Linked DNA regions of Drosophila melanogaster. The protein of the gene in region 1 interacts with the protein of each later gene in a pairwise test. Each region holds a gene or a part of one and is shown in the gene's direction. Other genes may lie near its edges.

What was found. Proteins that work in one complex are often made in the same cells at the same time.
Region 2: the proteins of Glyp (region 1) and CG1894 interact in a two-hybrid assay, tested with the Drosophila melanogaster proteins (one large-scale study listed by BioGRID).
Region 3: the proteins of Glyp (region 1) and CG3397 interact in a two-hybrid assay, tested with the Drosophila melanogaster proteins (one large-scale study listed by BioGRID).

The regions. Positions count from the first base shown.
Region 1 is NT_033779.5:2,127,393-2,138,263, forward strand, and holds Glyp (glycogen phosphorylase), read left to right. Parts: upstream 1-3,420; 5' UTR 3,421-3,619; coding exon 3,620-3,862; intron 3,863-7,046; coding exon 7,047-7,575; intron 7,576-7,645; coding exon 7,646-9,252; intron 9,253-9,338; coding exon 9,339-9,494; 3' UTR 9,495-9,904; downstream 9,905-10,871. Other genes in the region: CG4259 (uncharacterized protein), read right to left, coding at 941-1,678, 1,741-1,815; tho2, read right to left, coding at 10,277-10,402, 10,491-10,534, 10,592-10,766.
Region 2 is NT_033777.3:28,481,128-28,487,971, forward strand, and holds CG1894 (uncharacterized protein), read left to right. Parts: upstream 1-3,429; 5' UTR 3,430-3,524; coding exon 3,525-3,629; intron 3,630-3,710; coding exon 3,711-4,871; 3' UTR 4,872-4,935; downstream 4,936-6,844. Other genes in the region: Dhc98D (dynein heavy chain at 89D), read left to right, coding at 6,356-6,844.
Region 3 is NT_033777.3:11,981,189-11,987,807, reverse strand, and holds CG3397 (uncharacterized protein), read left to right. Parts: upstream 1-3,266; 5' UTR 3,267-3,299; coding exon 3,300-3,728; intron 3,729-3,783; coding exon 3,784-4,322; intron 4,323-4,524; coding exon 4,525-4,585; 3' UTR 4,586-4,710; downstream 4,711-6,619. Other genes in the region: mfas (midline fasciclin), read left to right, coding at 432-623, 688-973, 1,036-1,504, 1,577-2,259, 2,321-2,809.

The DNA.
Region 1 (10,871 bases):
AAAAACAGGGTGCAAATACATGTGTGTTTAAGTGTGAAAGTTCGTGGGCGTTGGGCGTGTCGGTCTGCTGTTAATGATGTTTGGCAACTTCAACTCCGGACGTCACACACACAGATACATGACCGCAGCCATACACACATACAAACACACACACACTCACGCGGAGGACACCTTCAGCATCCAATTAGCGGCAAAACGAGTTTCAGGATCTCACTCACACATGCAAACACTCGTATGCCCCATCCATCTGGCGTCCCTTTCCCACCGCACTCGCACTCTTTCTAACAAGCACTCGAATCGCTCTTTTTTTCACAGGGCAAACGCAACTCTCATATGTTTCGTGTGCTTGTGTTGGTTGCTCCCACACACACACACTCGCCTTTGTGGAGCGACAAACAAACAAACAAGCCAAAAACAACAAACAAGTAGCGTGCAAAAAATGAAAAATGGCAACACTTTAACTTTTGAACGCCGTTTCACCCACAAAACTCCTGGCCACCTCTCCAGATTTCAGCTACCTGCCATCTTTTAAATGCGATTTTTTAGCCGAGATTATTTCTGCTTGCGTTGTACACTTGGCGAAAAAACGAGGCACAATACAATATTTACAAGTTATTTTTCTAGGAATATAAAAAGCATTTTCAATGAACATCGCGCATCCGCCGTGTTGCGCAGCAACAAAGTTTATGGTACGAAGTAATAAAATAATACTTGCACAGCACTTCTTGAACTGATTATGTTGAATTGAGCGACTTAAGTTGATAATGAAATAGTATTTTTACTCAGAATGTATATATAAATTTTCGTGGTAGAATGTTTGTGATTGGACACAGGCCACATTTTATTTAGGAAATAACTGCAGATAACTATTTGCTCTCTTTTCTGATTCTCCGAATAAAGATTTAATAAATAACTGGCTAACTGCCTAAGGCTTTAGTTTTCAACTTCTGGGACGAAAGTTCGCTTCAAGTCTTAAATGGTAGTCAATCCAAGGGAGCAGACCAGCTACATTCGTAAAGACGATGAATGTATTTTCGACAGGCTTTTGACTTAACCAGTTCACAATGCCCACCTGTGCGTACTTATATGGATATGTAAGTATCCGACAAACCAGAGGAGCCCCACCGTCTCCACTGCAATCTATGCCTTCCAGACCTTTCCCACAGATTTGCTGGATGGGCAGCTTTCGAGAGCTACACATACCCATGCTCAAAAGATCGACCTGGACCGTCTTGAGAACGGTGGGGTAGTCCGTCGAGTTCAAATATACTTTTCCCCAGCCGTTGAAGAAGCAGGATCCTTTTTGAATACCAGCTTCTTGTAGGTACAATGGGATTAAATTAATGTTGGCTGTCATCTCAAATGCGGATACCAGAATGAGTAACGCCATGTTGTTTTCGGCATTGAATCTGTTGAACTGTTCATGGGAGACTATATTCAGCACCTCGAGATCCACGTGCTGCTGGTCAGCCGTAGTCGAGGTATCCCATTCGCCAGCTCGCACCACCAGATCATACTTGGTTGTTCCATTCAGAATATGAGCGGCAGTAAGGACCACATTTGGATTAATCAGAGATCCCACTCCTATATAGCGAAACAGCCAATCCCTCTGGTCGAGCACAGAAACCACCCAGGGAAATGTCGCTCTGGGATTACTGCCATATGTTTCACGTCGTATCTGCATGCGTATTTCCATTTCAGTATTTTTTATATCTATGTACAAGTATTATATAAACTAACCTGATTGTAGTTAAAGTATTGACTATTCACAAGGCTGATTATCAGTGTCGTGAGAAACGCAAAGTATAGCGACATTCCGCAACGAGTGTTCGAATCAAAATGAAATCGAGTACTTAGAACTTACCCTGCGAACTCAGCACTCTGCTTATCAGTAAAATGCGTCGTTTTAAGAATTCCACAAAGTATTTTGAGATAAATCACTTGTATTATAAAAAATATTCGCAGCATTCGTTATATTATTTCACAACGATCCAAGCAAATGCAGTCTAATTTCTCTCAGCGAACTTTTCTTTCGCCTAAGTGTAACTTTTTCATAATACTCGCAGCTGAATACAAAAAATGAAAAGAAAACATAACAAAAACTAGTTGAATAGCGCATACATATGTGCGAGGAGTCAACAAGCGCACGGTTGGCAGAATGAGGCAGCAGATTCCAATTAAGTTTTAAATTTTTAGCAGACAAGCTTATGAATGATGGCGTTCACTTCGATGGCAGCCCACTTGGCAGATGTCCAAAAGGTTTGCTCTCACTTTCCTCCTGCCAAATGTGCTAATCATTTTCATTTGCTACGAAATAGCCGAACAAATGGTGAGCTCACGAAACAAGCGGCGCCTTGGTCCTTTGCAATGTTACCCCCCCCCTTTACCCTCCTTTCAAGGACTTTTCCGCATGCATTCCCAAGTAGTTGAACATGGGAGTGCCATTATGGGAAGTAATAAACAAGAAATGGAATAACTGAATTGTTCGGATAGAATTGCAGATGCCCTTTGTCCTGTGATTAGCATTTGTTGCACAAGTCGAGTGAGGCACAGCAGAGCACATATATTCAGTGCGCTTTCTAAATAGATCAATTCTGTGACAACATTTTTGAAAACGCTTGTTTTAGAATATCAGTACGTAAATCTTAAAGCTCAAGATACGAATGTACCCAAAGAGATATATAAAACACAAAATATCTGTAAGATACAAAAGCATCAGATTTTAAAAGTATCTCTTAGATACAAAAGTATCCATAAGATTGGTAAAGTTTGAATTCCTAGCAAGTTGGCATCTCCAATATCCAGCCCGCCACGATTCTCCGCACTCAACAGATGGTTAAAAGCTTCAATTTGACAGCCGTCGGTTCAAAAAGCTCAAACCCGATTCATGGGGGCGCCACCCGTTCTATTCCAAAGCATACAAATGCCTCAAGATGAAACAAAAACAGAAAATAAACAACAAATACGCATGTATGACCTTCGCACAAGGTGACTGGGGCAAAAAGAGAGCGCCAGTGAGAGAGAGGCAGTGAGCGAGCGAGAGCACAGGGAGCAGTGCAGGAATACAGCATAGCTAAAGTGCGAGAGAGACAGCAAAATGCACCGGCGAGATAAGAACCGCTGCATCAGCAACGCACAGTGGGCGATATGGTCAAAATATACTGATAAAAGTTATTATCTGTTATTGAAATATACAAAATTTTCATTCTTAAATGATTAATATAAAAATCGAAAATTTAATATTTAGTTGTATAGTTAAAAAACAACCTATATTGTTGTATTATATCCCCTAGATGATAATTCGTAGCAGTTGATACCCAGCGCACCCACTGTGCGCTGGGAGTTGTTTACAAGGGGAGCAGCACGCTGAGAGAAAAGCTCTGGCGCAAAAGCTATCTCCGAAAGTATGCCGAAAGTATAAAGTGAGAATCGCTCCGGATTTTGCTGCGAACGGTCGTCTGTTCAGGTTCAGGTCTGGGTTGTGTCTATAGTCTCCGTCTCCTCTTCGCTGTCGCACACGCAAACGGGTCTACGCCACACACACACGCGCACCCACGCAACGGAATCAGAGAACTATATAGAGCCGCCACAGAGAAGGGACATACATAACTAGGACACCATGTCGAAGCCCCAATCCGACGCCGATCGGCGCAAACAGATCTCGGTGCGCGGGATCGCCGAGGTGGGCAATGTCACCGAAGTGAAGAAGAACTTCAATCGCCACCTGCACTACACCCTGGTCAAGGATCGCAATGTGTCCACCCTGAGGGACTACTACTTCGCCCTGGCCAACACCGTCAAGGACAACATGGTGGGCCGCTGGATTCGCACGCAGCAGCACTACTACGAGAAGGATCCCAAGGTGAGTTCCGCGCCCATCCAGGCCACCCACTTATTGATTTAGTCCGTGGAATTTTCCAAAAAGAAGTGGTCGGACCACCTAACCTAACTTTATCCGGGCTCTGGAGTTCTTAGGCCTGATTATCCCTTCCTGCGGCAACCAAAACTTTTGAAATAATTTCCTTTGAAATATTTTTTCCTAAATTTCTTTGGCTATTACGACATTTTTTTCGGCCTGCTCCATTCTCTTTTATTCGCTGCTGATTTATTCCCCGATGCGCTTTGGCCAACGAATTTACAGTGAACACTCAGCCAAAAAAAAAACTAAAAATTAAATGGGAAACGATAAACGTATTCATAAATAACTGAAGCAGTTTTGCTTTTATCCCAAGTATTTCCACTATGTCTTTTATTATTATAAATGAATATTCCATGCAACATTTCATAATCCTATTTTAATCCTTATTTTCTAAAATTCTAAAAATTTCCGAATGCTCACTGTTTATTTGAAATTTCGGCTTTTACTGCATTTCCCACGCTTTCGTTGTTTTGCTACTACATAATTGTTTCGTTTCATTTAATTATTCGCGAAATTGCCAAAAAGCAAAGACTGCAATGGGATCAATGCCAAAGAAGTAGCGCCAAAAAAAGGTGTGACACTTTCACTGCAACAAATTGCAGAGGTGCTGCAAAAAGCCGGCGAATTTATCAGCCACCCCCTTTTTACGCGCCCACTTGACAATTTTCCCCGCCAGCTGACGAAGCAACAAAAGCTTAAAAATAGCTCTGCATTTAGCAGCTGTCGCCGAGCTACTATAGAAGTAGCTCTATCCAAACATATTGATGAGTTTTTAGTAATAAGTTTTCCTGGGGCCATGGCGATGCAGTTTAAGTAGGGCAAGGGTGCATAATAAGTGCCCCCTTTTAGCCACATCCATCAGATACACAATATATGTATATACATACATATGTACATGTATCCAAACACGTGCCCAAAGCGTGAGCTTTCCATTTGCAAATTTGTCAGCATCGGCTGCTAAACATTTTTGTCCTTGCTGAATGTCAGCTTAAATCACTTTCAATTTCAAGCCCACCAAAATGTATCTATTAATTTTCCATTGACTCGAGCAATTTTGGCGACTAGAAGTTCGAGCTATATACACTTTTGGGTGATAAATATTTTCAATTCAACTAAATTGTGGATACCGTCACGGCGTCGGCACACATTTTTTCAAGGTCAATCAAAGGTTATTAACAACAACCAACTGACAAAAATATCAAGGAAAATTTCCCCCATTTTTCCTCTCTCATTTTTATTTTGGCTACCATTTCGGTTTTTGTTCGTTCTCAAATATATATATATGTACGTATGTATATATAAGTTCTTTCAGGTTGTGGAACTTTTATAGGCCCGATTTTGTTTAGTTGTCCCCCCACATGCAATTAGCTCACGCAACCATCTAAATAGAAATATATGAACTGACGACGATTGTATCTTATGGATACTTAAACAGCTGTTGTTGTGCGTGGATTGGTACTTAGAGTTAATTGAAGACAACTTGGCGTCCATCGGTCTCTAAACCAATTTATGCAAATTGAAGAAAGTTCAGCGGGGTGAATAGTCACACAAAAGAGTTTATTTCCCTGTAGTTTTCCACAAGCAGTTCGAAAATACTGTTCCACTTATCACCAAATTAAAAGCGTTTAGCTATCACCGATCATGTAAAAATTCAATGCCAGGGCGCCACTACCTATTGCATTTCCAACTTCCTATGCACATCTGTCATTTATTTATTGCATATAGGGAAAAAAAACCAATAAACAAAGGCAAACAAACACTGGTCGTTTGTTGGTGAGGCGCTCTTTATCAAAACCGCAAAAAACATATGTCTGGCATCTAATTCGTCTGTAGAACTGGCCAGAACGAATATCAAAGACCCTACACAACAAACTGCTGTGGAAAACATTAGCGCCGGCAGTTGAATGACTCCAAAAGCTTTTTATGGATCTGGAAGATTACTCACGTTTTGTTGTGAAGCTCTTATCTTCGATTAGATAAGCTAAATAGGTTATTAGCTTCTTTTTTTTTCTGCAGCAAAGAAGATCATGCTTAGAATTGGTTTTAATATTTGGATTTTTTCCAACTCAGTATTTACTGAGTGCACCTCATATTTCATAACTAAGAAAATACCTACTTTTATAGTTCATATTTTGGTATACCTATATAGATATAAACAATAATGTGTTTTATCACAGCATTTCCATTGCCCAGCACATATTGCCCGAATCAGTTCATACTCCATGTTCACCTAATTCTGTATATCTTATCTGCTAAATGGACTGCAAAATATTCCTAATCGAAAGTCCCCGATTCTATATAGGCGCCTTAACCCCTTTCACCTACAAATATGCACACAAAAACAAGCTCTCCAAACATTCCGAACTAATTAGCTATAGTTTTTTTCCCGGATCGCATAGCATCAGACATCTGAAAGCATCATGTGCGATAGGTATGCGTTTTAGGGCATAGATTACATAGGTAGGTTGACTGATAAGGGATAGGATTAGCATACCCTGGGAGCCATTAGCTACTGACTGGCGACACTGTGGGCGATGTTGTCGTCAATGCTGATTGGTGATTGCTGATCCGTGATCGATCCATGATTAGCCCAGCATTGGCTGGTGATAATAATCGCCATTCCAAGCTGTATAGATTCATGCTTAGCCATGATGTTTGCCCAGCATGCAAAGTGCAGCCTGCAATCGCTTGATAGCGTTGCTATAAACCCAATTAATGCCCTCGTAACATCGATCGATAGATTCGCACTGAATCGAACCGGTGATAGTGAATGCCTTCCTCTATTTATAGTTTCCAGTTGGGTTGCCCTGAAATTACCGTGCGATTTTTCGCTGATAAGCGAGTATTCCGTTGGGAACCGTAAAAGTTGGAAACTGGTTGACCTTCTGGCCAAACATAACTAGGTCTTTCAGCCGCAGTCGGCGCCCCTCTTATCAGGCTTTCGTTGTATTATAGTTATTGTATGCACTGTACAGCTGAACCTGGTGTGAGTGACCCATGCACTGCGGAAATGCACGAAATCTGAATCCAACTCATGAAATAATCTTATGACATTTCGATCTTCCAATATAGTTGCTAATTAATCATGGATACAATAGATCTAATAACGACCCCTGTATTTTTTTAGCGCGTCTACTATCTGTCGCTGGAGTACTACATGGGTCGCTCACTGACCAACACCATGATCAACCTGGGAATCCAGAGCGAGTGCGAGGAGGCCATGTACCAGTTGGGTCTGGATATCGAGAACCTGGAGGAGATGGAGGAGGACGCCGGTCTGGGCAATGGTGGTCTGGGTCGTTTGGCCGCCTGTTTCCTCGACTCGATGGCCACTCTGGGTCTGGCCGCCTATGGCTATGGCATCCGTTATGAGTACGGTATCTTCGCCCAGAAGATCAAGAACGGCGAGCAGGTGGAGGAGCCCGATGATTGGCTGCGTTATGGCAATCCCTGGGAGAAGGCTCGTCCGGAGTTCATGCTGCCGGTCAACTTCTACGGCCGTGTGATCGACACGCCCGAGGGCAAGAAGTGGGTGGACACCCAAAGGGTGTTTGCCATGCCCTACGACAACCCCATTCCCGGATACAACAACAACCACGTAAACACGCTGCGTCTGTGGTCCGCCAAGTCGCCCATCGACTTCAACCTCAAGTTCTGTAAGTATCTATAAGGAGAGGTCCCCTTGATAAGGCAAGAACTAACCTATGGCTATCTTCACCTATCCAGTCAACGATGGTGACTACATCCAGGCCGTGCTGGACCGCAATCTGGCTGAGAACATCTCACGTGTCCTGTACCCCAACGACAACTTCTTCGAGGGCAAGGAGCTGCGTCTGAAGCAGGAATACTTCATGTGCGCCGCCACGCTGCAGGATATCATCCGCCGCTACAAGGCCTCGAAGTTCGGATCCCGGGAGGCGGTCCGCAACACCTTCGATCACTTCCCCGACAAGGTGGCCATTCAGCTGAACGATACCCATCCATCGCTGGCCATCCCTGAGCTGATGCGCATCCTGGTCGATGAGGAGCATCTGACCTGGGAGAAGGCATGGGACATCACCGTCAGGAGTTGCGCGTACACCAACCACACCGTGCTCCCAGAGGCCCTGGAGCGCTGGCCCGTCTCCCTGCTGGAGTCGATCCTGCCCCGCCATCTGCAAATCATCTATCACATCAACTTCCTGCACATGGAGAATGTGAAGAAGAAGTTCCCCGACGATTTGGACCGCATGCGCCGCATGTCGATGGTGGAGGAGGATGGCGAGAAGCGCATCAACATGGCTCATCTGTCCATCGTCGGCTCCCACGCCGTCAACGGTGTGGCCGCCATCCACTCGCAGATCCTAAAGGACTCGCTGTTCCATGACTTCTACGAAATGGAGCCCCAGAAGTTCCAGAACAAGACGAACGGTATTACCCCGCGTCGTTGGTTGCTGCTCTGCAATCCCGGACTCTCCGACCTGATCGCCGAGAAGATCGGCGACGAGTGGCCAGTGCATCTGGACCAACTGGTTGCTCTGAAGAAGTGGGCAAAGGACCCCAACTTCCAGCGCAATGTAGCCCGCGTCAAGCAGGAGAACAAGCTGAAGCTGGCCGCCATTCTGGAGAAGGACTACGGCGTTAAGATCAACCCCTCTTCCATGTTCGACATTCAGGTGAAACGTATTCACGAGTACAAGCGCCAGCTGCTGAACTGCCTGCACATCATCACCCTGTACAACAGGATCAAGAAGGATCCCACAGCCAACTTCACCCCGAGGACAATCATGATCGGAGGCAAGGCTGCTCCGGGCTACTATGTGGCCAAGCAGATCATCAAGCTCATCTGCGCCGTGGGCAACGTTGTGAACAACGATCCCATTGTGGGCGATAAGCTCAAGGTTATCTTCCTGGAGAACTACCGTGTCACCCTGGCCGAGAAGATTATGCCCGCCGCCGATCTGTCCGAGCAGATCTCGACCGCCGGCACAGAGGCCTCTGGTACCGGCAACATGAAGTTCCAGCTTAACGGCGCCCTCACCATCGGCACCCTGGACGGTGCCAACGTTGAGATGGCCGAGGAGATGGGTCTGGACAACATCTTTATCTTCGGCATGACCGTCGACGAGGTGGAGGCGCTCAAGAAGAAGGGCTACAATGCCTACGACTACTACAACGCCAACCCCGAGGTCAAGCAGGTGATTGACCAAATCCAGGGCGGATTCTTCAGCCCCGGCAATCCCAACGAGTTCAAGAACATTGCCGACATTCTGCTTAAGTACGACCACTACTACTTGCTGGCCGACTACGATGCGTACATCAAGGCCCAGGATCTGGTCTCCAAGACCTACCAGGTGAGATTCGATAGCTTAACTATGTATTAGAAAAATAAGTAGCAAAGATCATTATTTAAACCACGATACTTTTGCCTAATTTGCAGAACCAAGCCAAGTGGCTGGAGATGTCCATCAACAACATTGCGTCCAGCGGCAAATTCTCGTCGGATCGCACCATCGCCGAGTACGCCCGCGAGATTTGGGGAGTGGAGCCCACCTGGGAGAAGCTGCCAGCGCCGGAGGATCAGCCACAGAACTAAATCAATTTTTGATATTATTTTATTATTTATGTGCTTTACTTTTGCTAAAGTCAAAGTTCAAGTTTAGGCGCCAAAAGCAACAACTAAAACAAATGAAGTGAACACGGGCCACAGCACCGAATTGTTAATATTTTATTTAATAAAAATCAAGATAAACAATTCGCCTAGTTCTCTCATCACTGTGGAATCGAATCGAATCGAATCAACAACGGTACCTACCTAAAAAGACCTCAGGAACACTTTCAAAGTAAAAGAAAAGTCTATTTAAAATAATGGAAAGAGTTGTAAAAAACGTTAGTGGCAAGCTTGTTTAGATATCTGATATGCGTGTTTTAAATCGAGATTAAACCTCAAGTTCAACTGTTAAATGTAAAAATAATTTAAATTGAATAAAATTTGATTCGAAATAGAAAGCTGGTGTTTCACTGTCGCTTGGGTGATAAATAAATAACACGAAGGGTTTACATCTTAATCTCATTGCAAATGAACAATTTATTATTTGTTTTAAAGACAATCTGAACATCTATTTGGGGAATGAACTTTTTATACAAATATTATGGCTATTACAGTTCCCGTTTAGTAAACAACACAAAAATGTAGTCATTTTTACAATGTAATTGTTTGGATCTCTGTTTTAAAATAGTCACTAAAACTTGTAAACATTTCAAAAGTAGTTTCGTTCTTTGCTACAATGGATGGAAAGGCCATTCCAAATTCTTTAAAAGTTAAACAAAATGCGCTTCACAATGCACGGAACGGGCAAGCAAAAGCCCGGAGTGCAATCAATAGTTGACTCTGGAGGACCGAGCGGACTTGCTGATGTACTGCCGCTCCTCGGCCCGCGAACCGCTGGCTCCTCCTCTTTCTCTATCGAACTTTTCATGTGATCGCTCCCGCGGTGACTTCTCCTATGGATTGGCAACCACATTAGTTGTAATTCCAGTACGCAATTCCAGAACTTGGGAATGTTGTCGACTATTGGGATATATCACTCACCCTATGCCGCTCTCTATCCCGCAGCTCTTCTTCACCGTTTTGTCCTGTAAATCGTTGGCTTTTGAATGTCTTGACTATCCGATAAATGACTATTCTCTCACCTTCGCGCCGGCGTTTATGTTCGTTGCTGTTGGACTCGTCGACGCGATCCCGCTTGCGTCCCAGCTTGCGATCCTTGCGAGCGTCTCGCTCCTCATCCGACAGTTTGTCCTTGTTGCGCTCTTTGGTCTTAAGGGCGCGCGCCTTCTTTACGCTGTCCACCAGTTCTTCCACCTTCTGGAACGGCATGGGATTAATGGTTGTAAAAACATGTCAAGACTGTTGCTTAATCTAAGCGTTTAAGGGTATGCGTCTAACTACTTAAAACGAACAAAAAGCCAA
Region 2 (6,844 bases), on another chromosome or scaffold:
TATTGACGTGTTTAACTGTGCGAATGGTGCCAGTATTTCAGGACACATATACATAAAAAGGTACCTGCATATAGGAGAGTTCATGGCAAATAAAATTCGTCCTCAATTAACGAGAAAGCTGTGCCCATTTAAGGGTCAGACCAAATCTGCAGTGGCCCTAACTTTCGATCAAATCATTTTCTAAGAGTAAGATTATGGTTTGGATCACCAGACAGAGAACAAAGCTGAGATCCTTGGATTGCATTCGTGGCACATCCGTTGTCCGATGCTCGTTCGAAATTGTATCAAAGCAATTGGTTGCTCGAATCCTCACCAGCAGCAGCGTACTTCTTCATGTAGCTCTAACTTTATTTATGAGTCAATGACGTCGCCTGCAACTTCCTGTGACGTGACAATTTCCCCGAGCACTTGGCACAAGGCGTCCTTGCGAGAACGAGAGGCGCCAAATGAAAACACGTGACGCCCGAGCAATTGGTGGGCAACAAAGCTCAAGCTTTGAGTTATGGCCAAACGCAATGGTGCACACAAACAATGGAGGCAGGAGGAGGAGCTTGGGATCCACTTCCGAACACCCGGACACCCAGCAACGCGGACACCGGAAGGCAACCACTGGCCACGTTTGCATTTCAATTGACTTTCCGTGAGCTTCGCTCTCCACCACATCCACGTCCACGTCCTTGTCGTCTTCGTAGTCCTTCGTCCGCCGCAGCTCTGCATTTTTCACGATAAAATCATAAATCAGCGCTGAATCAGGTAAATAAAAATAATGCTCGAACTCTGTATGCAAATTGAACCGAGAGTCGGAGCAACGGAGACTTATTCGCTGAGATTTGCCTGTGCAAAAATATGATAAAACTTGAGCCAGTCAAAAAACTTTGCAACTCTGGCCAAAAACTTGACTTTGCTTATGCGAATGAGGTGGCTGGGTGGTGGCTAAAATGTTGAATAATATTGTTGAAGACAACGCTACATTTTTTCTCAAAACTTTTCCATTTTCAGAAGGATTTTAACAGACGTAAATGGAACTGACTCAGCAATCAGACTATGTTAATTAGCCTGCGCACTAAAGGGCATTCCAAATGATTCAGAACGAGGGTAACCAAGCCAAATGGTCACACAAGTCGTTGCAAAACTTGGGTTCAATGAATTCGCGGGAAAGAAAAGCAACAAACGAATCAAAATCTAATTAACAAACCTTTATCAACTAAAGGCATCCCTAGTATATGAAGGTGCAGTTAAAGTTGATTAACTCAGCTGGAATTGGCTAACGAAGAGCCTGTTTTGAGCATCACTTGTGTGTTATATTAACATACTGCTAGTGGCACAAATAGCTTCCAAATTCCTGTGGACTCGTGCGATTTGATATGGCTGCAACCACAACTGAGATTGACCTGTGCTTTATTACTTCAAAAATGCGGCATTTGGCTAATGCTCAAAGGAATCGATCGAGTCCATGCCGGCGATGATGGCGCATCGCTGGCCAATTATACGGCTTTGAGGGCATCAGTTTGGGATTGGACCGTTCCTCAGGCGTCGACTCGTTAAGTATCCGCAAAGGATGCAATCTCTGCCAGTTACTGAAATTCGGCTTTGTGGCAGACAAAACTGCATTGAAGTTGTTGCGGTTACGGCTCGACTGCCTAGTTGCCTAGTTGCCCGACTGCATGGATGCCATGGCAATTGGCCAACGCAGGCGTCGTCTTAAAGTAGGCCCAGTTTATTAATTAACGCAACCCGACCGACCACTATTCCGGCTTTGCATCCGGCAGCCCAGCAGAGACGCCTGACCACACTTGGTTTGATTCCAACCGGATGGTAACTTGGAACTGGGTATTCAGTGCACACTGGCATGCATATTGAAGTGCGATTGCCGGGCTCTGGGCATGCTCCTCCTGCATCAATTATGGGCATTCAAAACTGTTTGTAACCATTTTCCAAATGTTCAGCTGGCTAAACAAAAGCCCGTCCAAACCCACCCAACACTACGTGGCCCCATGGAAACCGTTTCGCAAAGCCCATTGGGAGCCCAGCGCTTATCTTCACCGTACAGGTCAAGGGCTAATAGGTATCGATCCAGAGCTACCAGCCCAAACATTGGCCTTAATATTTTTATAAGACTGATGGTATCGAGTAATAACAAGGAACCAAAAAGCTTGGAGGCGTGAAATTAAGCTGGGATTAGAATATTGTATATGTATATATACATTAACAAGAAGCTGTGCTGTGCTTTAAACATATCGAAATAACAAAAGAATTTTTATTAAAAATATTTAAGCTTCAAGTTAGCTCGACTTCTTTGGCCTGTTTGAATAGTTCTGCACACACCTACGACTCTACGGCTCTAATTAGGGAGTATGACTCCGGGGCCCAGGAACCTCCTTTCAGTTGACTTCGTTTTCAAAGGCATTCCCCGCATCATTTAAAAGTTATTAAGCACAAATGCAAACAGACGTTCGAGTTGTCTCGAAGCCATGGTTGTGTTTATCAAACTTGTGTGACGTAGATAAATATGCAGTGGGGGCACGTTTCAAGCGGAAACGAAGCAGCACAGCAATAAAAAGTGTTTGATTTTAATGAGATTCGAAGTATGTATATAATTTTAATCATTTTTGTGTAATATTCTCTAGTAGAGACATGACATTTTTATATTTCTGCAGCGCATAGATATTTTGCAGCACAAAGCTATATATCAAATCGCTATAATATTTTTACGTGTACGCAAACAGAGACTCTTATAGAAAAGGCACACACACACAGACACACGCACATATGCAGAGTGAAGTCAATAAATTCTCATTTCGCTGGATGCGTGGAATATTTCACCTGCAAACAAAGTGTGCTCTTCGCTACTCTGCTCTCCGCAAACGCAATAATAAATACAAATAAAAACATGGCGCATAAAGATTACAGCCACCGCAAGCGAATGCTGTAGCAAAAGGAGCCAACTCATCCAGGAGCTTTCCATCCTGCTAGAACCCCCCCCCCCCCCCCATCCCGCCATCCACACACTCTCAATCCAATCTATATTAAGTATACGCACCGTTTGAACCATGCATTTTAATGATGTCTCCCGTTGGCCCGGGCTCGTCACCTAATCTTTCGCCCGGTCTCCTGGCCTCTCGCCCTCACATCCACCTGCTGTGACGACGTAAATGTTCATTTATTTTAATTAGTATTGAGCCGGGTTGTCCCTGCACTGGCGTCTTCGATAGATCAAGGTAGCAGGGTGTGGCGTAGGACTGAGATTATATCCCGAAATGTTTTCTCACTGAAAAAAATGTATACAACTTATTGTATAATATATATTTTTGCTCAATATATGTTCAGAAAGTTAAATTGGAATTAAAATTTAAAAATAACTTTAATGCTTTGATATTGGTGCTTCCTTAGATGATTCGATTTTTTGACAACAAACTTTATCGTTTCATTATTGATATCACTAATCGATATCAAGCTAAATGTGTCATCACTAGTGAAAAACCACGCTTTCTAAAAAGGGTGAAATTCGCAATAGGAATTGACAAATGGACAAGGAAAACAGATCAGGTGACCATTTAAAGTATCAGCCGTTGGGCGATCAGGACGGGATAAGTTCGAAATTGCCGGACATTCCGAGAGCCCTGCAATTGGTAAGAACAATACTGGTCAAAGAATATCATATGAGGAATGAAAAACTGCTGATAATTTATTTTTTTTTTGCCACTCTTCAGACTAATGCCAAGGAATCCTCCGCGACTCGCGGTTTAGGCCAAAGTGCTTCTAAGTCCGAAATGGGGAAATCCCAGCTTCAGAACGATTCATCTCTTCAAAAAAACATTCAGGAAACTAAAACCATTACTGGATCGTGCATCGAAGCTCAAAGAATAGGGGCTACACCGAAGAAGCAATTGGAAGGCGTCAAGGAACCTAATATGATTTCTTTATTACACACTAATGCCAGTAGCAATGTGGATGATCGCCAGCGCCAGGAGACAATAGATAATGAAAAAAGTGATGTCCAGAAAGAGAAAGAGGACGCGAAAGTGAAAGTCATAAGAAACATCGAAAAGGTGCAATTTGGGCGTTACGAGATCGAGACCACGTCTTCCAGTCCCTATCCTGTAATAAACGACAAGGCGACCACCATTTACGTTTGTGAATTCTGCCTAAAATACATGTGCTTGCGGAAAAGTTACTCCTACCACCTATACGATTGCAAGAAGAGGTGTCCGCCGGGCAGCTTGTTATACCGAAAAGACAATATTTATATCTACGAGGTCGATGGCCATAAGGAGCAGCTGTATTGCCAGTGCCTCTGCCTAATGTCAAAGCTCTTTCTGGAAAACAAGAAAATTCTTTACAGCTCGAGTTCGTTCTTGTTTTATATCCTGTGTTTGAAGGACAAGGATGGCGAGCACTTTGCAGGTTACTTCGCCAGGGAGAAGACTATGCTGAATATCAACCTGAATTGCATCCTTGTTTTACCGCCCTATATGCGCAAGGGATACGGAAAGTTGTTGATTGATCTGAGCTACGAGATCTCTCGCAGGGAGGCATGCATCGGAGGTCCCAAGAAGCCGCTGTCGAAAGTTGCCAGACTTTGTTACCTCAGCTATTGGGGCCACATCCTCCTCAATCTGCTGAGGCACCACTCATCACCGGACCTGGTGACCATCGAAGAGCTGAGCAAAGCGACTGGCTTCCGCGAGGAGGACATAATAAGCACTTTAGAATTTATGGGGATGACGAAGTACTACAAGGTTGACCACATCATGTTCTACACTACTTCATCGATAATTGAAGATCGCCGTGGGCTCGCACAGTTTAAAAAGCCGAGGTTGACCATTCACAGGAATCGCCTCTCCTGGAAGACACCCACAGGACGAAAGTAGAACATTTTCATGATATATGTATGCCACTTTGTATGCCAACAATTTACACTAGTAAACTGATTGCACTCATCTACAAGAATGTCCTTATCTTATTTTATTTTTTGCGGTGTACCTTAGACAGTCTAAAATAAAAATCACATTAGCGAGATAATCAAAATTCAAGGCCTGCGGAAATTAGGTAAAATCCAGGTATTAATGAAAAATCGATGACATCCCATGGAACTGATTCCTCAAGCCCATTGAAGTGGCTGCGAAGTTTGATTGCGCAACTTTTATGGTAGCAACGGCACATGCACTTTAAGTGAAGTCGTCAAAGAGCCTGGCAGTCGGTTGTTAGGCAATTTGAGATCCGGGCAAAGTTGACTTTTGCACTTGCACTTACTTAACCCACAGCCTCACTCAACTCACTTTGCCGTGTTGACGGTGCCGAGTAAATATTTCCATTTATGGTCCCATACACTTATTGAGCGTGGCCATCGTTCCACGTCCGCCGCTTCCCAGGAGCCAAGGGGGCTACGGGGCTACTTGACCTGGACCCGGAGACCTGGCAACTGGGAAAGTCCCTGGCACGTTGCTAATGTGCATAGCCATTAAGTCAGGGCTGCGTGTTTTGTTTACGCAACGGCGTGAGCTCTATAACTTGGCAGGGGATTGGTTGGGATGTGTTGTGTTGCGTTGGTGCATTCAAAGGGCCCACAATGCTCTGGCATTGCTATTCGACTGTTGCATGTTGCAAGTGCGGCTGACAGGTAACCGGAAGGGGGGTACCAGAAATTACATTAAATCGGATGGGTTGGGGATAGTTGGACTGGGCTGAGTTGGGTAGGATTGGGTTGCCCTAACAACAGCTAGTCAAGGCAACCAGCAACATAGCCGGGAAATGGAATCAAAACAAGCAGCATAAACAATTTAAGCAACGTCGTTATTATTATTCGACAGCTTTAATCAAAGCAGCCCTGCTATATTTTCGTCAGGGAAATGGAAATAACTTTCATCAAACGCCGTTAACAAATTGTGTACCTGTATATCTGAACAGTGTGGCCCAAAGACAACATTTCAAGGCATTCCATATTTGGTTTTTAGACGGCTGGCATTGGCCATTGCCGTAGCTGCAGCCGCAACTGTTGTCCTGGGATACACAAAAGGATTTTCAGACGCCCGGGAGTAAATACACCAGCACTCTGTGGCGGAAGCGAAACCAAACTGCACAGCGAGGCAGCTGAAATTGATTGAAAGAACAACAAAAACGGAAAGGTGGTTGGGCATCCACCAAGTTGGCATCCAAGTGGGAGGACGAGAGATCCTGTTTGTAACGAGAAATCCTGCGAAATCAAGGCAAACGTTTGATGTTCAGCCGCGCGAAGACGCCGACGTGGCAGCCAAACAACCAAAAGAGAGCAAGCAAGGGACCCAAAACCCACTCACATCGGAAACCCACTCCACCGCCCAACTTCAAGAACCTATTCAAATAAGCGACGACCACCATGTCACAAACGCAATTTGAATCCACCTCAGACAGTGCCGATGCCACGGCAGAGTCCCTTAACAACGTTGAACCCCGTATCGTCTGGCTGAAGACGATTATGTCCAATATGCTGGGAGTTTTTGAACCCAAGTATGTGAATGCAACGATCAGCAAAAATATGCCTGCCGTGGAGAATTTTTTCCAGCGACGTTACGAGACCCAAAACGATTTGGATTTCGTGGTGTTGTTCTTCTGGCGCACCTTCTACGACAAACTCATCGAGGAGGAGATTACCGTGCTGGAGGAGGTGCCGCGCCCACCACCCACAGTTCCCGACAAAAAAGGCAAGGGCAAAAAGAAGGGCGATGCCCGGATGGCGGGCGGAAAGTCCGCCGGCAAAGCAGGTGCATCGGCAGGAGCAGCCGGAAAGGGACGCAAGAAAGCTGGCCAGGATGCAGCGGCACCAGCCGGTGGTGATCAAGAGGCCGTCGAAGAGGTCAACACTGGT
Region 3 (6,619 bases), on another chromosome or scaffold:
AATCGGTTAGCGAGTGCCGATCAACCGACTAAGTTGGATTGGATTCGGAGTTGTGGATATATAGGAATTTAGGGTTGAATCAAAATTATATACATATATGTATAGTGGTATATAGTGCTATATAGTGCATTGACATTTCGATTTGCATGTCTGTTATATGACCAATTCATTAGCAGGTTTGGCTATAATTTGTAGAGAACGTAAAGGGAGAATGATCATCATAGATTAAATATAGCAACAAGTTATTAGTAATTGCTCATTGAAGATAACTTATAAAACTAATGATTTGAATATATGCCTGAAATACACTATTTTTAAAGCTTATGTATTTGAGTCTCGAAAAACGATTGCCTTGAATTATATTTGTTCATTTCGCCAAACTATTACTACATCACATTGTTAACCAATAACCAATTTTTCGCTTTATTCAGACCCAATGTGTGCACCGAAAAGGAGGAAGACGAGACTGTGGCCAGTGAAACGGAGGCAGAAGAAACCGTGGACACCTTTGGCCAGGAACGTGATGGCGTTACCAACGTGGTGCGATCCCCACTCTTTGGCCAGTTCCAGTTCAGCGTTAACTCCTGCGCCGAGAAGCCCAACAAGCACGTCTGCACCAAGATGTAAGCAGATTACAGTAGGATTACCTAATCTCATCCAATTGATTGAACACTTTATCCCCTGCAGCGTGAATCAAAATGGCAAGAAGAAAACGCTGACGCTGACCCGCCAGTGCTGCTATGGATATGGACGCCCCAGAAACGCTGACTTCACAACGCCCTGCGAGAAGATCGACATCAAGGACGTGGAGGCCACGGCCAGTGACATGGGTGCCAAGCAGTTCCTGGAGAGTGCACGCACCGCCGGTGAGCTGGCCGATATGCTCGGAGCAGGCAGTGGCAAGAAGGTGACCCTCTTCGTGCCCAACGACGCCGCCTTCATGGAGTACCGTGGTCATCATCAGCAGGAGAATGTGAGCATGCCTTTGGTTACTAAAATTCATGTAAATAAATGAGAATTCTTTGCGTACAACAGAATGTGGAAGATGCCAAGGCCGAGGCTTCCAAGCCATCCATCTACAAACTGCACGCTGTTCTCGGCGAAGTTCAGCTGGAGGATGTGCCCAATGAGAAGCTTCTGCAGACGGAGCTGCCTGACCAGAAGATCCGCATCAACAGCTACCAGCTGCCTGCGGCTTTGGGCCTGGAACCCTACCGCTTTGCCGCCAACTGTGTGCCCATCGAGAAGCACGACAAGCTCTCGGAGCAGGCCCTTGTCCACACTCTGGGCGGAGTCCTGAAGCCGCTGACCAAGAACCTTATGGATATCATCAGGGAGCGTGCGGATATGTCCATTATGCGCACCGTTCTGGAGAAGACCAACCTGAGCGCCATGCTAGAGGATGACAAGCCAGTGACCATCTTTGTGCCCACCGATGCCGCCTTCGACAAGTTGGAACCTCATCTGCGTCGAGCCCTCAAGGAAGGTCGCGGTTGTGCCTCCAGTGAGTTGGTCTGGAAACTTATCCACAAGCAGCTAACTAACTAATATAATATGATTCCCATTTATCCGGTAGACATCCTGAAGAACCATTTGCTGGACCTCACCTTCTGCTCGCTGGCCACTGTTCCGGGTGCCAAGACGACGGCCTACAATCTACTGGGAGAACCCCTGCTCCTCAACCGAACCCACCGCGCTGCGAATCAGACTGGACCGACTCCCATCTACATCAATAACTTGGCCAAAATCATTGATGCCGATATCATGGGCACCAATGGTGTGCTGCACGTAATCGACACCATCCTGCCCACCGAATCGGCTCTGCCCATGACCTCGCTGATGTCGCAAAAGAACCTGACCATCTTCCAGCGATTGCTGGAGGCCTCCGGCTACGATGATCAGTTCGACGATCTGGACAACGTGACCATCTTTGCACCAACTGACAAGGCTCTGCAGAATACGGAATGGGCTCGCATGCTCAAGGAACAGCCGGAGCTGCTGAATCATAACTTGGATCTGCTGGAGTTCCTTAACTACCATGTGGTCAAGCCCATGATCAAGACCTGTGACCTGTCGGAGAAGTCCCTGCCCACGGTTGCTGGATCTAGTGTGCGTCTGAACCTGTACTCCACCCATGCTCTCTTCTCGGACGTGATGAACCGGGCAACGGTAAACTGTGCCCGTTTGGTGCACTTCGATGACGAGAGCTGCGGATCCGTTCTCCACCAGGTGGATCGTGCCTTGGCGCCTCCCAAGAATGTGAGTTCTACGAGGTTATCACGGAATTTAAAGCTTATGCTTATTTGTAAATATTCCACAGAACATGCTTAAGCTGCTGGAGGCTAATCCCAACTACAGCAAGTTCCTGGAGCTGGTTCGTAAGGCTAATCTTACACAGCTGCTGTCCAACGATTCGAGGAGTCTCACCCTGCTGGTGCCAAAGAACGATATCTTCGAGGAGCTGAACGAGTCCGGTGAGGGTTCAAAGCCCGCCGATCCCATGGCCTTGGTCAAAACCCATATCGTTGAGGATGTTGTCTGCTGTGCCGGCATTATCCCAACCAACTGGCCATTTGTCCGCTCCATCGAGTCCATCTCTGGCCAGCATCTGCGTATCACCCGCGATCGTCGTCCCAAGATCGAGAACGCCGGCGTCACCAAGTGCGATGTGGTGGCCACCAATGGAATTCTCCATGAGATCAACGACATCATCGTGCCACGCCCACAGCGCCAGCAACAGCAGCGACCCCAGCTGATCCCGCCCGGAGCTGGCTATCAGCCACAGGGCGATTTCGATGTCTTCTTCTGAGCGGTGCTCGTCCCCATCTCATGCATATTGATATATAAAGCAGATATTTATATTTACTCTTAACGATTTGTCAACTGATTGGAAGCCGCAAAAAGCTCAGAATCTCCTCTGATAAATAAAATAAATAGTATTAAAACAAACATGATCGGAGTTATGCTTATTGTTCACATGCAAGGTATTAAAAGGAATTACCTTAATTGGGAATTGGTTTTCTCTTTAAAAAATGTGGTTGGTATATGATATCACAATTTTTAGAATCATTCTTACAGAGAGCTACATTAATAATGCGAAATTACATAGTAATATATATAAAGAACTAAGAGCGAACCTTCTCTTCCACAGCTTATCACGAAGAGAAGCTTGCTAAGGGAGGCAAATCTATTTTGGAACTCACTCATACCTACATATGTTAAAATCACTTTATGCACTTATAAAGTGCCATTTTTCTAGGAGTTCTATTCATTCAAGCTTGTTAATTGAAGCGAAAAGGATGTCGGGATCACTGCCAGCTACTTTCGTCAAGGGTTTCCACGATGAGGAGAAGGTGCGTCGTATGGAGTACCGCCAACTCGGATCCACGGGTCTGCGAGTATCCAAAATTGCTTTGGGTGGTGCCACTCTCTCCAAGCTCTTCTCCGATGACTTCGATCGCGAGGAGGGCATCCTCACGGTGCAGGAAGCCATTAGATCCGGTATCAACTACATAGACACGGCTCCCTTTTATGGCCAAGGCAAATCGGAAGAGCTGCTTGGCCAGGCGCTCAAGGATGTGCCCCGGGAGGCCTATTATATAGCAACTAAAGTTGCACGTTACGAGTTGGATCCAAACAATATGTTCGACTATACGGCTGCCAAGGCTCGGGAGAGTGTGAAGCGTAGTCTGGAGCTGCTCCAGTTGGACAGGGTGGACGTACTACAGGTGTGTTTGGTATACCAATATATAGATTTGTCTATAAACTAACACCTTGTGACAGGTTCATGACGTGGATGCGGCACCTAGTCTGGACATGGTGCTGAATGAGACCATACCCGTCCTCGAGGAGTACGTCCAGGCGGGAAAGGCTCGATTCATCGGAGTCACCGCCTACGATGTGGACGTGCTGAAGGAGTGTGCCGAGCGGGGCAAAGGTCGCATCCAGGTGGTGCTCAACTATGCCCGCTACACCCTGTTGGACAACACTTTGCTGCGCCACATGAAGGCCTTCCAGGAGATGGGCGTGGGCGTTGTCTGTGCGGCCGCGCACTCTCTGGGACTCCTAAGCAACGCTGGACCCCAGTCCTGGCATCCTGGTAGTCCGGAACTCCTAGCTGTGGGCAAACGGGGAGCCGAAATCTGTCAGAAGAGGAACGTTGAGCTTGGAAAGCTGGCCATGTACTATACAATGCAACTGGATGGGGCGGCCACCTTCCTCATCGGTATCCCCAACCGAAAGCTGCTGCGGATTAACTTGGACGCGATCTTCGACGGTCTCACTTCCCACGAACAGGAAGTGCTGCAGTATCTGCGCGAAAAGTAAGTTGGCCAACAACTGGTTACGCCGAACTGTGCAAGTCGGATTTGGTGTTACCAATCCTGCTATTGCATCACGGGCACGAACTTGGCCTCGGCCTGGCCAAACTGGTTAATGGTAGCTCGATCCAGAGCAGACTGCTAGCGTTAAATCTCCATTCCAATCGCTACAATACATTGGTTTCCTTTTCTGTCTTCGTTTCAGCGTTTTTACCAAGTCCTACAGTTGGGGCTCCACTTTATCCACGGTTAACATGTTCAAATGAGCGACCACTTGGACGGGCAATCGAACTTGAGCTCCAAGACCAAGAAATCTTTGGTAATGCAGGGAGAACGGATTTAAAATAAACTTTAGATTATAATATTCACTGAAATAAAATATTAAATGAATATTTTTGAACCTATTTATTTTTTATAACAGTCGGCCTAAAGCAAACTTTATGCAAATTTATGATTAAGTTATTCCCAGATAAGATCAAGTTCAGTTGGGCCAACAGTTCAGGTCATTTAAGATTACAGATAATAATCAAACACAGCTTTGATTCAGCTGATTAATATTTGTTTTCTTTGCCTCAAAAGATCCAATGAGAAAGGCAAGAGAAGAAAGCCTCTCAAAAGCGACTACCGTTTATTGCAAAACAGAATACTTCTGAAGAGGCTTTTCATTTAAGACTACTTTCCCTTAAAAAAATCCACTCCCTCTCTTAATTTTAATTCGAGAAGAGATAATAAAAGATTTGTTCAAACACGTTAAAACCGCTCCGATACAGAACTATTCTCTCTTTGATAAGAGGCAATCTGTGTTGTTCAGAATATAAGTTATATTTATAATATTAAGCAGGCAGTACTTCTCTGACTGCCGATCGAATTTCAACAGACCGCGCAATATATTCGAATGAAAACAAAAAAACAGAAAGTTCTAGAAATTTTGGATGAAGTTGCGATTATGTATTCAATAATATAGGGCAAGGCCAATTTATGTGAGCTGCCTTGACTTATATTTATAAAATATTATAAAAATGTTGTGCAATTTAGAAGTTAATATATTTTCTTTTTTAGCTTTGATTTCGAAACAAAAATCTGGCACTAACTCTGAAGAGCTCCTTAGACAGGCACTGAAAAAAAGCCGCAAAAATCCCATTGTATCGCTACAACTAGTTGTTGCAACTATGGCTCGCTTTTCTCTTAAAAAATGTGGCTGATATACAATAATATGATTTTCAGAATCGTACTGTTTGAGAGCTAAGTTGATAATGCGAACAAAGAGCCGGAATTCTCTTCCACACCTTATCAATAAGAAAATCTTGCTAATCGGGGCAATTATATTACGGAACTCACTCAAACAAAGTGAAAAATTACTTATTTACCCCCACAGTTCTTATCTGAAAACCTGGTCCCCAAATCATATAAAAGCCCGATTTTTTTAGTTGTTCCTTTCATTCAAACTTGTTAGTTGAACAGAAAAGGATGTCGGGATCACTGCCAGCTACTTTCGTCAAGGGTTTCCACGATGAGGAGAAGGTGCGTCGTATGGAGTACCGCCAACTCGGATCCACGGGTCTGCACGTGTCTAAATTAGCTATAGGTGGCTCCCCCCTTTGCAATCTCTTCTTTGATGACTATGATCGCGAGGAGGGCATCCTTATGGTGCAGGAGGCCATTAGATCTGGCATTAACTATATAGACACAGCTCCATTCTATCGGAGGTGCTGCTTGGCCAGGCCCTAAAGGATGTACCCCGGGAGGCCTATTATATTGCCACTAAAGTGGCGCGCTACGGGCTGGATCCGAAGAATATGTTTGACTATTCGGCTGACAAAGCTCGGGAGAGTGTGAAGCGGAGTCTGGAGCGGCTCCAGTTGGACAGGGTGGACATACTACAGGTGGGTTTGGTAGATTCGTCTATAAGCTGGTGAACTAATATGGCCCTTATGACAGGTTCATGACGTGGACGCGGCACCCAATCTAGACATAGTGCTGAATGAGACCATACCCGTCCTCGAGGAGTACGTCCAGGCGGGAAAGGCTCGATTCATCGGAGTCACCGCCTACGATGTGGACGTGCTGAAGGAGTGTGCCGAGCGGGGCAAGGGTCGCATTCAGGTGGTGCTCAACTATGCTCGTTACACCCTTTTAGACAACACCTTGCTGCGCTACATGAAGGACTTCCAGAAAATGGGAGTGGGCGTTGTCTGTGCGGCCGCTCACTCATTGGGACTCTTGAGAAACGCTGGACCACATGCATCGCATCCCGGTAGTCAGGAAATCCTGGCCGTGGCCAAACGGGGGGCCGAAATCTG